2 linked regions of the Diceros bicornis minor genome follow. The protein of the gene in region 1 purifies or fractionates together with the protein of each later gene. This does not show direct contact. Links are inferred from orthologs where the notes say so. Each region holds a gene or a part of one and is shown on either strand. Other genes may lie near its edges.

Region 1 (7,789 bases):
TATTCTAAGAGTGAAGTTACTTAGGTCATTAATTTTTTACTTTTACGTGTTCTAGAATGCAAATTGCAACTCAAAAATAAAGAAAAAGCCTCTCATTGGAAATTTAAAAAAAACTTTAAATGAATTCAAATGAGACTGCTTAATTTGTTTTTTAAAAAATAAGCTTCCTGATGCTACCGTATCATAATTCTCTCTTTATCCCTGATATCAGATGCTTACCTACCACAACAGGTTTTACTCATAGTTCCTCAAAATAACATGTTGTGTAACAGATAGCTCCTTAAGTAAAAGCAATTTAGTTCAAAAGCCACATTTTATAGGTTCATTTGCTAACTGAAACAAAATTGGCCTGCAAATTAATAATTTAATGTGAATATCTGCATGCAATAAAAGCACATATTTCATGTGCTGCAGACAAAGGCTTTCTCACTCTTCAACTCAGTTTTATAAGCAATATAGCAAAGACTTCAAAAGAGGTAAACATTTACACAATGGCATAATTACTTCTAAAATTGCATTTCTAATTTTGTTATACCATTCAAGTTCTATATTTGGACATACACTCAGACTTACACTTCTTTTATAATCATGTGGCTATTCTGAGTCTGTAGACCAAGACAACATTCACGTTTGTCAAATTTATAGGGCGCCCAGTACACACAGACTGTATTCATCAAACTCAGTGAAAGCAAAAGAATAATAGCAGCTTGAATTTTGTACCAAGAAAAGATGCCTTCTGTCGTAGGGTGATAATTATAATTTCTAAGCTGTGATTAATATTTAAGTGGAATCTGAAAACCTTTGTCTTAATGAAGGTAGAGAAGAAAAAAAAGGACAGACAAAAAGGTAGTGACGTGAAATTTAACAATCTTCTATTGATGACCTTTTATTGTCTAGCACTGACAGAGATAATGATTTATAGCACAGTATGACCCCTGGAACACTGCCACCCCCCACCTCCTTTCTTTACCTATCACTTTGAGTACAGAGTCATTCTGATGTTTGGTTAGCCATGGGTTCTGAAGCCAAGGGGACGTGGGTTTGAATCTTGACTTTGACACATACTACCTATGAGACCCCAGGCAGGTCACTCAGTACCTCTAAATCTCGTTTCATCATCTGTAAAATGGACATATCACTGACATCCGAAAGCTGTAGGGAGGAGGATTAAATGAGATAACAAGCGAAAGCATGTAGCACAAAGCCTAGCCCAAAATAGATGCTCAAGAAGTTAGTTCCCTTTCTTCATCTGACCCCAGGCTTTTGAACTATCCCTGGAAGTACACATCAGTTAGCATCCTCCAAACACGGAAACATCCACATATGCTTTAAATTCTTGGCCCTGGTGCTTGAAAGTATTTGTACAGTGGGAATTTCAGTTTTCAAGACGTGATTCACCCAGTTTCTAATTGCTCTCACTACCCAACCCAGCAATACCAGGTACTCCAACAAGGTCACCACACCCTCCACAACGTCCAGAGACAGATTCCAATTCCAGGCACCAGCCTCACCAGCAGACCATTTTAAACTTCTTTATGCAGAATTTGTTTCAGCACAGGTTAGTCAACTAGATCAAAACACTGCCACTCTCCCTCCAAGCAGGAGTTTTAATTTTCCAAGATGATCCCTTCTTTTAATCGTCATAAGTAAATGAATTAACCTTGGAAGTTCTCCGAATACTTTGTTGTAGGAAGCAGCTTTACACCCTCTCCCAAATAGCCTAAAAACACCTTCCTGACTGATAGAGTCTCTGTTTTTTTGATACCTGAAAAACCCAGGGCCTACGTGAAAACAAGAGGTTAGATAAAATTAACAAAAGAGAGCAGAACTAGGATAGTTTAGGTAACTTAGGCAATGAGTTGAGGTAGGTGAAAATCGGTTAGCATTTCCTTCAGGTTCCAAAGCTGCAGTATGAGAACACATGGCTTTATAATCAAAGATCTAAGCAGTGTAGTAAGTATTGGGTTGGGGCCAGAAACATAAATAAATCTGACACTTTTCTGGTCCTTAAGTCTGGAAGAAGAGTGTAGGGGAGGAAGGGACGAGAGACATGCATAGAATGCCCAGAAGCAGTAATAATAGCTAATACTTATTGAGCACCTACTCTGGACTAGGAACTCTTCTAAGCAATTTATGCAAATAAACTCACTTGATCCTCAGAAAAGCCCTAAGAATCTTCTTACTGCAGATGAGGAAACAGGGATTCAGAGAAGCAATCTTCCCAGGGTCACCCAACCAAGTGGTGGTGCCAGGATTGTAACTGCCGCAGTGGGACGGGAGGGCTGGAATGTGCAAGGTGCCATATAAAAGGTTCCTTAGAGACAAGGAGCGAGGAGGAGCGAATATGTGCAATTCTGACTTAAGGGAAGGAGGCACCGGAGCGGGGGAATCTTAAAGAACTCGGGGGAAGGTTTTTCTCGAGTTCGGGAGGGTCCACCCGGCAGCTGAAGGATTGGGGGCTGCCCCAGACAGGAGCCAAACATTCCACGGGCGACGACTGTGTGCAGGGACCTCTCCTAGACGCTAAAAAAAGGAATGAACGGTCCCTCGTGACGCTCGATAGAGGGCAGAGGATCCCATTTACCACAATTTTACAGATTGTGATAAATGCCCACAATAGAGATGCAAATAGGGCAATAGAAGCGCAGCAGGAGTCGTTAATTCTGGCACGGGAGGAGGCTTGGAGCTTGAAAATCTTGGGAGAAGCGATCCCTCAAGGGGATCCCAGGGGCTCGCCAGGCCCCACGGAGAACACGGATCCCCGCCCCTCCGGGAGGCCGGGCAAGGAGACCCGGCCCGCCCCTCAGCCTCGGGCCCCGCGGCCTAAACCCCCGCCTTCCCGCCCCCGCGGGGTCGAGGCCGGGGCAGTGGAGGCCAGCAGAGCCAGAAGCTCGCCCCTGTTGCCCCTTACCTGGGGTCGGGGCAGTCCGGACGGGCTCGGAGCGGAGAATTCGCGGACTCTGGTCAGTCGACGCGAACAGGCTCCGGCGGGCGCGGGCGGAGGACCGAGGCTCAGAGGGAGCGGCTGACAGATCCCGGAAATGGCCACGGCGCCTGCGCAGCGCGGCGGCGCGGGCGGTCCGCGCACGCGCACTGATCGGTCGTGCGGCAGGGGTCCCGAGCGGGTGCGGCGGGTCAGGGTCGGGCCTGTGAGCGGCCGCGGTGGCCTTTCTGAAGCGGTGTCGTAAAACGGCTGGGGAATGGTGACGAGACAGCGTGAACGTCTTACTCCGGTCCTCGAAAAATTTCCTCAGACTGGCGGAGCGAAGTGTGGAGCCTTGGCGCTTTCGCGAGTGCTTTTGTCGGGAAATGAATTACTGAGAATTGAGAATTACTATATGACGCATTTCGCGCCACACGAACCCGACGAACGACTACGTGTTTCCCCCTTCAGAGACACCCCCGTCAGAGCCAGTCTCCTGTGCAAAGCCCTCTCCGAGGAACTTTCGCGACCCTTCCTCAGTCACTTGTTTCCTGCTCCCAAGATAGCGCCACAGGACAGAGGAATTGGGAGAATTCAGCATCTCCCCCCAAACACGTGAAGACAGCTTCCTGTGCAGATGCGGCTTCAAGGAAATGCTCTGAACCCCACTTGCGGCTAGACCTGTCGCCCTTCAAGGAAATGCTCTGAACCCCACTTGCGGCTAGACCTGCCGCCCTTGAACCCACAGAAATTCTGGAGCAGCACTCCTGTCCTCGGGGCCACAGCAGGTCGCCCACCAAGTGTCTGTATGGTTCCCTGTGGTGGTTTACAAGTTTGACCCCAATGCTTGGCTGTAAGGTGATGTTCACAGAAGTGAACGTGTCAAATTCCAAGTGTCAGAGCCTCACTATGTTCTCTGGGGCTGGTTAATCCTCTTGTTCGGGAGCACGCATGCACTGGAAGTAATTGGTTTTGCTTTGTCCCGTGGCTACAAAGTCTTTGGTCCCAGGGACATCGAGGACACATTGAGAGAGCAGAAAGAGCATTTTAAATTAATTACCCCCTCTCAGAGACAGCACCTTGGCAAAGGAAGGACAGCATGCGTGGAAGCAGGGATTCCTCGTGTGTCTGCAAGTTACATGAGCCAATCCGGAAGTGTGCAGAGTTGGTACCCAGAGTAAAAATACCAACAGTGTTTTATTTAGATCCCACCTCTTTGCAAGGGACAGTGCAGTTCCTTCTTTGAAGGAATTTGTAATCTGGGTAGATGAGAATAACACATACAAATTAATAATACCAGACTCTTTATGATAAATGACAAGAAAAGAAATAACTTAGTCCAGGAGAAGTAACAGTAAAACATTTAATATTAATCTCCGGTTCTACCTTTTGAGTTAGTATTTTGTATTTTAGCCTAAACAAAGCTTACCCTTGGATGCATTTCATCTTTTATGAGTCATTCCAGATGGTAAAATTTTATTTCTAAAGGGGCTTGTTAGGTGAAACCATCTTATTCTGTAACTGAGGAAACAGGGCCAGAGGATTTTGAGATTTCATAAAAGTTTTGATGTAAGTCACTGGCAGTCCAGAGCCTCTGTCCTGGTACCTAGTCCAGAGCATTTCCCATTATCCCATCATGCCCTGGTATAAGAGCCATTAGAGAAGGAGAGTGAGTTATTTTTAGTGTTTGTTTTTCAGACTTGTGTAATGACACTGACAGTATCCACAATGAGGACTCTGCCTTTTAAAAAATAGTTGCAGGGACGGGGCCGGCCCGGTGGCGCAAGCGGTTAAGTGCGCGCGCTCCGCTGCGGCGGCCCGGGGTCCGCTGGTTCGGATCCCGGGCGCGCACCGACGCACTGCTTGGTAAGCCATGCTGTGGCGGCGTCCCATATAAAGTGGAGGAAGATGGGCACAGATGTTAGCCCAGGGCCGTCTTCCTCAGCAAAAAAAGAGGACGATTGGCGGATGTTAGCACAGGGCTGATCTCCTCACAAAAAAAAAAAAAAAAAAAAAAAAATAGTTGCAGGGAAGGTGGTACTTAGAAATGGGAAATGGGAGGAAGTGAGGGGTTGGACACTGAGGGGTATGCCATGGGATGGTTTTGTTTGCTTTATTGACTCAGTTGGAATTGGCGTAGGATTGAATTGCAATTTGGTCAAGCTTCAAGTCATTAAATATTTACTGAGTACTCACCAAATGCAAAGTATTGTTTTAAGCATTTCGTGCAATGTACAGAAGAGTTGAGTAAGATCTCTCTGTCCTCAGGGAACTTAAGAGTGGGATAAAACCAGTTCACCGATAGTTTTAAATAGAAGGAAATACACAATCCCTGGAACCTGGAAGGTCCTAGTTAGTGTTTGTTGAATGAAACTATGAATGAATGAAATAAACAGTCTGGGATTTCAGAGAACACAGAGATCACCACCAGTTGTGAATGGGAGCCGGGGCTTGTTGAGACACATCAGGAATATCACCAGTTATAGATCGGAAAGATTACATGTTTACCAAGGTCTGAGGATTTCCTTATGCTCAAGAGAGCTTTGATTTAGTATCTGGAATGTGGGTTTGGAGAGTAAGAAGATTGTTTCTTGCTTGTGCCACCAGCCAAACAACAGTGAACACTTAATGCTGATCTGCCTCCATTTCTGTCTCTTACCTGGGTCAGTGCCTGCCACCTACTCACCACAGAGACTGTTGGAAATATTATTGAATCAATGCCTGTAAAAGCTGTATGTAAGCAAAAGGGTAAAAACAGAAGCGCATGCTCTGTGTTAATACTTAACAATGCTTATGATTTAGATATTGTCTATTTGCTGGGTATCGTCCCGAGGAGGGAAAGTTTCCCATAGAAAAGATCTTGTACAGTTCAGTGCAGAGGGACTGAAAAATGCATGTGGATTTTTCCACTCTAGGTTGCTCACCTAGTTCATTTCCATAGTGCAGGGATGGGACCAGTTTATGGGGTATCTAGGGGCATGAGGTAGTCCAGATGGTATATAAATAGCATTCTATCACAAATACTATACTTACAAGACAAGCACATAAGCATACTTATGAATACCAGGTATTGTTTTTCTAATTTGATAAGTGAAATCTGTAGTCCACAGGCCTGTAAATCTCCTGGAGGCCAGAGCCAGTTCTTCCACAGTTTGTTTCTAACACTTTTCCCGTGTTGTTATGCAATCTTAGATTATTTTAATAAAAAGGTAGTATGATGGAGTGCTTAAGAGAGTTCATTGACTTTGGAAGTAAACAGAACTGGGTTCAAATTCTGTCGCGGCAGCTTATCAGCTATATGCCTTGGGACAAGTCAATCAGCTTCTCTAAGTTTATTGGCAAATGAGGATAATAATTCCCACCCCTTAGGGTTGTTCTAAGGATTAAAATAGACAATGTATATAAAGTACTTGACAGTTCTTGGCACATTAAAAGCACTTAAATTGTGGCAATTATTATTTGAAAATATTGTACCAAGTTGATTCTCATAATTTACTATTTCTCAGTTGTTTTTTTCCCAGTCTGTGGCTTCTCTTCGTTCATTCTCTTAATGTCTTTCAAAGAGCAGAAGTTCTTAATTTTGAGAAAGTCCATTTATTAGGTGTAATGTCTGAGAAATCTTTGCCTAGTCCAAGGTTATATAGATTTTCTGCTATTTTTTTCCAGAAGTTTTATAGTTTTAACATTGATTGATTTTAGAGTGTTAAACTAAACTTGCATTGTTGGGAAAAGTGCTCCTTGGTCCTGATGTATTATTCTTTTTATACTTACTATATTTAGTTGCTAAAATTTTGTTAAGAATTTAACAATTTAAAATCTTTGTGGGCTGGCCCTGTGGCTTAGCGGTTAAGTGCGCGTGCTCCGCTACTGGCGGCCTGGGTTCGGATCCCAGGCCCGCCCCGACGCACCGCTTCTCTGGCCATGCTGAGGCCACGTCCCACATACAGCAACTAGAAGGATGTGCAACTATGACACAACTATCTACTGGGGCTTTGGGGGGAAAAAAGGAAGAGGATTGGCAATAGATGTTAGCTCAGAGCCGATCTTCCTCAGCAAAAAGAGGAGGATTAGCATGGATATTAGCTCAGGGCTGATCTTCCTCACAAAAAAAAAAAAAATCTTTGCTTATGAAGGATATTGTTTTGTAGTTTACTTTTCTTGTAATTTCTAGTTTTGGTATCAGAGTAATTGTGGCCTCATAAAATGGGTTCAGAAGTATTTCTTTTTCTTCAGTTTTCTGGAAGAGTTTGTATAGAATTGGCTTTTCTCAATTTCTAAACATGAGAGTTTTAAGTTATATTTTTGTTAATGATTTCTACCTTAATTGCATAATTTCTAGCTTCATTACTGATTTTTTTTTGCTTACTTATTCTTTCATTTACTAAGAAAGGTGTGTTAATGTCTCCCAAATGATTGTGGATTTGTTTGTGTCTACTGTAATTCTGTCATTTTTTAAAACTATATATATATATATATATTTTTTTTGCTGAGGAAGATTAGCCTTGAGCTAACATCCGCTGCCAATCTTCCTCTTCTTGCTCTTTTTGTATGTGAACTGCCGCCACAGCATGGCCACTGACAGATGAGTGGTGTAGGTCCATGCCTGGGAACTGAACCTGGGCCACCGAAGGGGAGCATGCCAACCTTAAGTGCTGTGCCACCAGGGCTGGCCCTAAAACATATTTTGAGGCCATATTATAGGTGTTTCTATGTTATAGAATTTGTCTTCTGAGAAATTGAATGTTTTATCATTATGAAATGTTCCTTTTTTTTTTTTTTTTTTTGTGAGAAAGATCAGCCCCTGAGCTAACATCCCTGCTAATCCTCCTCTTTTTGCTGAGGAAGACTGGCTCTGAGCTAACATCT
Region 2 (7,709 bases), on another chromosome or scaffold:
AAAAGAAAAAAATGTTGATTATAATATTTTGCTTAAATAGTTAATAGTAGTAATGAGAAAAGTAATATGCCCATGGTCATGGAAAATATTAGAGTAATTATAAGAAAATATTTTGTGCAACTTCTTGCCAATAAATGGGCAGTCTAGAAGAAATGCAAGTCAATAACCACAGAAGATAGACAAAGATTATCAAAGATCTACCTCTAAAAATATGAGCAAACCCAGATAATTTTGCAAGCACATTCTGTAACTTTCAAAGAAAAAATAGCATGGTAATTTTCTATTATTCAAACTATTCTAGAGCATAGAAAAAAAGATGGAAATCTTCTCAATTCATCTTACAAAGCTAGACTAACCTTAGTATCAAAACCGGATAAAGATAGCACAAAGAAATAAAACTATGGACCAATCTTACTAAGAAATACAGATTCTGAAATCATGTAAACAAAATATAAGTTAATAAAATCTAGCAAGTAATTAAAATAGTAACCAAATAGAGTTTATTCTAGAAATGTGGGAAGGGTTCAGTGCAGAAAACTATATAAATATAATTCATTACATTCATAAATTAGAAGATCAAAAACTATATGATTTTTATCATTAGATCCCCAAAAAAGACATTTGATAATTTTAGCAGTCATTCCTAAAGATCATAAAGCAATAGGAAATATAAACTAGTGAAATACCAAAGATATTTCCATCAAAATAGAAACAAAGAACAGAAGCCTACTATCACTCAATTTTTCAACACTGTTTTTGAGAATCTAGCTAATGCAGTAAAATAAGGAAAATAAATAAAAATGATATAATATTAGAAAAGAAGATGTAAATTATCATTATCTCAGACATTATGATTATATATTGTGACAAGAAAGGTAACCTTAAAACAACTGTTAGCATTAATAAGAGATCCCAATAATGGGAAAGAATACAGGATAAGTAAATTTTAAAATCCATAGCTTCCCTTTATATTATCATTAGCAGGTAAAAAAACTAAGTAGAAAAAGAGTCTCACTCACAACAATGTTTAAAAAACAAGGTTTATTCTTTCATTTAGCACTAAACTTTCTTCCTGAGACAAGAGTACAGATTAAACTTGTTTTTAATCTTTGAAGTACTAACATATAAATAAATAAAGGTTTCATTGTAAAATAGTTCACCCTACCTACTCTACTTCAGGGTGTAATCATAAAGTTATATAAAGGTAAAATTAATCACAAAGAAAAAATTTGAAGTTTTGAAGGTTGGTGGTTTCAACACAGAATCACTTGATCTGGATATTAAGTAGGAGCATTAAAACCATACTATAGTCCATAGGTAACATGCTAAAAAATCTTTTTATATCGTAGTAATTATGTTGCTAGAGAACAGTGGTATTAAATCATCATTACCACAACTGAAATTTATATATTTATTTTATATTTAAAATACCTATTTGACATATTTGATTAACACTGGGTTCACTTCCACTTCAAATAATAAAAACAATAGTGCTATGCTGCAGGATTCAATGTCTTGGTTTAAGTATTTAGTGGCAAGTCTGGGGAAAAGAAGCACATAGTAGGTAGAGTATTTAGTTTAAAATATCTGAAAAGAAAGACCTATTATAGGATAGTTTTATCAAAATCCTTTCTCACCAAAAAGATCCTTCACTCTTTGCATCATCACAGAAAAGAAGAAGCTACATACTACCATGCAGCATTAACCTTGAGAAAATTCAGATTCAGTCGTACTTTAGAATTGAATGAAACCAGGTTATTTGCACAATAAATAAGACGACTTAAAACCTTATGTATCCTTTATTTCAGGGATAAGCACTCACTTGGAAAATTAAAATAGGAAGAATAATATTACCTAAATGAATTAAGTACCACGATTAACACTAAAAATTTGGAATTTGCAAGAAAGTGGAATAATGTGTATTTTCTAATTAAAAGATAATCAAGGACAGGTTTCTCCACATGCACACACACAAATTTCCCTAATGCTCTATAAAGATTTTAACTTTAGCTAATGGGGGTAAGGAGGTCATTAGTGTGTCTATTAAAAAAATACTCAATCTCTAAATATGATTCCAAAGTTAACTGTCCAGATTATTAATTTATTGGATAGAAACATGTTGAGTACCTACTATTTACTAGGTACTTATTGTGAGACAATAAAAAATACTGCAATTGCAAAAGGACATTTTTGACATTATTACATCTCAAATGTAATACGCGTTGTGTGGCTGAGAATTAACTAATTATACTTAAAGCAAAATTCTGAGCAATTGAAACAATTATGCCCTTGAGCAACTCAATGTTTTAAATTCCCCTCATTATTCCCTTAAGTTGATTTCTACCCTGAGATTCTTTCCCAGTTCTAAAAGAAGAGAATAAAGAAATTTCCTAAATAAGACCTAACACAAAAGAATAGAAATGGAAGGGAAGGGATGTATTAGCTCTTGAATCCTTGTTTCCATTTGCTCTCAATAGTGCTTCTAATGTTCAATTTTCTCTTCAAAGAAAATATCGATTAGAAGAACAAAAAGTATAATCATCTTTAGCACCTAAACAAGTATATTGCTTAGCTCTTACTAAAGTTAGCAGAAGATTGAAAGTGAGAAAAAAATATTAAGACCAATCTTTATTGTAAGTTATATAATGCCATTCACCATAGTAATGATCTGATGCTTTGCTATATGACTTTTTAAAATAAATATTACCAACAGGTAGAAAATTTTCCTTTGCTGTCTTAAGACAGCCCTTAGGGGAGTTTTTACCAGTGTGTCTACTCATAACTTGAATGTTAATTTAAAGAAATGTCACTTCTATCACCTAATGATATATCTTCTAGAAGGGTGATTTAATTGGGAAAAGAAATATGCCATATTGCTTCTTCCTCCTAAAAAAAAAGGATGGATTCCATTCCTGAGGGGTCTCTCTCTCTCTCTGTGCATACATATGTATACATATTGATATACATATAGATATACATATATACATATGTATGCAAATGTGTCCAACAAAGGTTTGGTTTTGAGATCTCTCTTCCTTTTCTTACTGATTTATTATTCTCAGGGTGACTCAAACTGTACTGCTTTTCACATTTTCTTCATTCACCAATGAATAATTGAGTATGTGAATGTATTGAGTACCTTCTACATGCTTAGCTTTATGTCAGATGAAAAGGAAGATACCAGGAAAAAAAAAAATGACAGTCTCTGCCCTCCAGCACCTTTCGATCTCTTCCAGGGGCAAGATGAGACACGATATATCATTAAGTAATTTATAAGACTAGTGCCAAAATCAATGGTACAGGTAACATGCATTTTAGATTTATGTAGAATTTTAGAGCTTCAAAACACTTTCTTGTATTTAATCCTCAGAACAATCTTATGAACTACACATTATTAGCCCCAATTTAGCAATGAGGAATCTGAGGTTTAGAATTTTAAGTGGCATGCCTCAATCAAATAGATTATGAGCGGAAGAGTCAAGACTCAAGCACAGGAAACCAAGGATTGGGATACCTAACAGGGCAACAGCTGGCCTTCTGCTAGAGGTGGAATTAAACTAGACCTGATCAGACGGTAGGAAAACGTAAAGCCATCTGAGCAGTGTCCAGCCAAATGTCCAAATTAATTTTATTCTGCAAATATTTGTACTTCAGTGTTATTCCCACAGCACAAGTACCATTTCCTTAGTTTTAGTGCCTTGACTTCCTCAAGAGCTTTGCTCTCAGAAATAGGGATGTCAAATATAATTTATAAAACTGGCCTAGCGGGATCATATATCTTAAAGGTCTTAATCACAAATATAAATCTTAAAGGTCTGATTTCTACTACTCCTTACACATTTTGTTTCCCCTCAGCGCCGGAGAGCATAACTCGACCCTACCCTTTTCTAGCATTCTTGCTCCAAACAACCACTTATTTTAAGATGTCAATGATTGACCCTATCCCAAATTCCACAGGTTCGCCCCAGTTTTGCCAGCCGACCCCAAGCCCTGCCCAGACACATCCCCCTCCCTCCCAATGGATATGATACCTAGTTCAGATTCTGCAGGTGCCTCATGATGCTTGTCACACAGCACTGACAGATAAGATATGACCTTTCGACTCCGTCCTTGGGGACCTCCCGCTGGCCCCGCAGCGTAGTTCCAACCCCAGGAAAGGGGCTCCCGGCTCGGGAACGCAGCCGCCGGCAGCGCACGGTCCGAAGCGATGTCTCTGACAACTAGAACGATGCTGGACGCTCGGGCGTGCATCACTCCGCCCCATACTCCTGCCAACTGCAGCGGACTTGGTCCGGCAACCAGTCCATCCCACCCCACAGGCAAGTCGGGGCCGACCGGCCCTTACGCAGGACCCCGATGACAGGGCGTTGGCGGCGGCGGCAGCAGCAAAAGCCAAGGCCACCCGCCCCCAGTGCCCATCGCCGCCAATCTAAGACCCCCTAGACTGGACCGCAGAGAAGCGTTTCTATGGAAACCCCCCAGGGATCACGTGACGACGCGGACGACCAATCGTCTCTTACCTCCGCTCGCGGCACCGCTTTCTGCTCGCCCTCCAGCCCCGCCCCCTCCCGCCCCCGCTTCCATTGCCCAGCCCCGCCCCTTTCCTGCGGAGACTCCGCGCTTGCGTACTGCGTCCAGCGCGCTCCCTCCCTCGCGCGGCTCCCCGGGGAGAGTGAAGGCGCCGTAGGAGACTGGAAGAGAGCGCGAGCCTGAGGAGGAAGGAGCGCGGCGTGCGCGCAGGCCCAGAACCGCCGAGCCTTGGCTGCCGGCAACGCCCCAGAGCGGAAGAGGGAAGTGGAGGCGTCAGGCTGTGGGTTCCTAGCAGGGTGGGCTTGCTGAAGTAGAGGCAGCGCCGAGAGGAGGCCTTTGCCACCGGTCCGGATCGCGATGTCGAAGAACACGGTGTCGTCGGCCCGGTTCCGGAAGGTGGACGTGGATGAGTACGACGAGAACAAGTTCGTGGACGAGGAAGACGGGGGCGATGGGCAGGCCGGGCCCGACGAGGGCGAGGTGGACTCCTGCCTGCGGCAATATCCTTGCGTTCCCGCCTCCCCACCCTTCCCGGCCCTTCTCCCGGGACCCCGCCGCCTGCAGGGGGTGAGGAGGACGGGCGCTTCCCGGGGGCCCGCCGCTTGAACCTGTCTCTTTGGGGTCCCCCATTCCAGGAGGGCAGGGGGCTCTCCCATTTCTAACCGAGTAGCCCCGAGACCCCAGGGTCCAGCCCTCGGAAAGGTGCCCTTGCCCGCGCGCCTTCCACGCCGCGATTCCTCAGGTTGCGCCCGGAGTTCCTGCCTCCCGGGAGCTGGCTCCGCCGGCCGCGCCCGCGAGCGCTGGGGCGGGCATCTGTGCTGGTCAGTGCGCTGTTGCAGGGCGCCTGAGTTTTCCGCCCCAGAACGGTGTTTACTGGGGTCACATTCGCTCCAGAAATTTCTGATTGGGAAGAACGGACGTCTTTCCTTAGGATTTTGTTTTTGTTGTAGTTTTGTTTTGGTAGCGTTAGGATAGTTCATTTATTGCCGGGGGACATGGGTTCGGTTTGCAAAATTGAGGCCGTCTGTCCTTCCGGCCCGTGGGCTCTATTTTTTTTTTTTTTTTTTAAAGAGAAAGGGATTTGGTAAAATACGGGTTGCACAGTATTTGTTAACGGGAGATCAGGAGTGAGTACAAAACAACCAAAACTCCCGTGAAGTAAGCTTGGAGCCTTTACCTGCTAAGCAAAGGACAATAGAAGACGGGGAATGCGTGTGAAGAATCCTTGGAAATATTTAAAATAAAGCCCAATGAATAAAATAGAAGATGAGTCATTTGTACAGAGCAGAATCATTTTTGTAATCCTGAAGTGGTTTCCATTTTAGTTAAAATGTGGCTGTCAGTTCCTGGTTTTTGTTTTTGCATATTTGCATATTCATAAGTTTGAGTGATCATTTGCATCAGATCTTTTTTAGAAAAATGTAAATGTGGCAATAACCAAAGCTGTAGTTTTAGAGATCTTCAATTACTGAATTCACTCATTTCTAATTATTCTTGGGTGTATTCATAAGATAAGGAAGGCTTTTTAGAGTCTTTGCTCATCAATGGGGAAGTATATGAGTGGAAATAACTTGGTAGCAACTATATCTGGTCTTAAAGGCACCTAAAATACAGCACTAAATATGTCAACATACAGATGTTCTTTTGATTGCCACAACTTTCACAATCAGCTGTTGCTGTTTTGCATCATTTAAGCAGTTAAGTGTTTTGGGTCTTAAAAGTGAGCCAGTCTACAAAAGGCATGCGTCTCTAGAAGTTCATTAAGCCTTGAAAAGAGCGACTTACCACCAACCATAGGTTTTTTTGTGAGACCTTTTTCTTCAGAACATATGTGATAAACATTATTCTGTCTAAAAACATTCTTTGATGGATAAATGATGTTTTGTGAAGCTAACTTAGGTGATATGTGATGACTTTTAGATAGTACTGCTGTGTCGGTATAGTGGATCTGCTTTTTAAACAGTTCATCTTAAAATATAAAGATATTGTCTCTTCTACTCTTGTTACAAGAAGAGACAAACCCTGGTCAGGCACTACAGATGGAGGAACAAATGAACTCTGTGTGGTTTTCCTTTTAGGGAAATGACTGTACATTCTGACAGTCTGATTGGCCTTCTGTGTCTCATACTTGCTAGCTCACTGGTGCTTTCAAAGAGAGACTAAATTTAATAAGTATGGCCTGAGACAGTTTGAATAACCTTTATGAAATATGAGAGAAAATATCCAAAACAGAAAAATCAAGTTGCCATCTAAGGGCCATTGAATGATTATATCTTCCACAATATTGATAGGTTGCTAATATATATTATTCAGATTGCTAGAGTAATCTACCGGCATTTCAATTCATATAGAATATAGTTCTAGTAAAAGTTTTGCCTTTATTTTTCTAGGTAGAATCACATAAAAAGACATTTTGGTTAAGGATAGGCTGTTTCATTTTGGGGCCTAATAATTCTGATAGATGTTTTAGAGTTTTTTAAATATCACTCTAGATAATGTTTGCATATGTGTCTTACTAGAAAATGAAAGGTTGGGGCAGACCCCGTGGCGTAGCGGTTAAGTGCATGCGCTCTGCTACTGGCAGCCCGGGTTCGGATCCTGGGCGCGCATCCACGCACCGCTTTGTCAAGCCGTGCTCTGGTGGTGTCCCATATAAAGTGGAGGAAGATGGGCACAGATGTTAGCCCAGGGCCAGTCTTCCTCAGCAAAAAATAAAAGAGGAGGATGGGCATGAATGTTAGCTCAGGGCTGATCTTCCTCAAAAAAAATTAAAATAAAACTCATTATATAAATAAAAAAAAGAAAATGAAAGGTTATCAAGGTGTTCATCTAATAGAACCACGAATGAAACGGTCTTTGCTTTATTAAAAAACTCTAATGTTCTCTTTCTGTTTTCAGTATTTTGAGTGACATCCTTGAAACCAACATGTTGAATTTTCCAATATTGAACATAGTGACCATAGGAATTTTTCTTTCTGTGCGTAAAGTCAAGTCTTAAGAACCAGTGGTTCCTGGTAGTTATGATGCTTTCCTGAGGCCTGACCTTTGCTGCTATCCTTAACCTCCATCACAGGAAACATGACGGCTGCCCTACAGGCAGCTCTGAAAAACCCCCCTATCAACACCAAGAGTCAGGCGGTGAAGGTGAGTCACGGACAGCACAGTGATCTCTGCTGATA

The links. The genes of interacting proteins can lie anywhere in the genome.
Region 2: the proteins of ARPC1A (region 1) and ARPC5 fractionate together in Homo sapiens (co-fractionation; 8 studies listed by BioGRID and IntAct, counting the BioPlex papers as one, with this or other methods). This does not show direct contact. The link is inferred for Diceros bicornis minor from reciprocal best matches to the Homo sapiens genes ARPC1A and ARPC5.

What each region holds. Positions count from the first base shown.
Region 1 is NC_080765.1:7,346,718-7,354,506, forward strand, and holds the start of ARPC1A (actin-related protein 2/3 complex subunit 1A), read right to left. Parts: upstream 3,002-7,789; 5' UTR 2,912-3,001; intron 1-2,911. UniProt on the Homo sapiens protein: Probably functions as a component of the Arp2/3 complex which is involved in regulation of actin polymerization and together with an activating nucleation-promoting factor (NPF) mediates the formation of branched actin networks.
Region 2 is NC_080743.1:83,822,326-83,830,034, forward strand, and holds the start of ARPC5 (actin-related protein 2/3 complex subunit 5), read left to right. Parts: upstream 1-4,690; 5' UTR 4,691-4,887; coding exon 4,888-5,030; intron 5,031-7,601; coding exon 7,602-7,674; intron 7,675-7,709. UniProt on the Homo sapiens protein: Component of the Arp2/3 complex, a multiprotein complex that mediates actin polymerization upon stimulation by nucleation-promoting factor (NPF).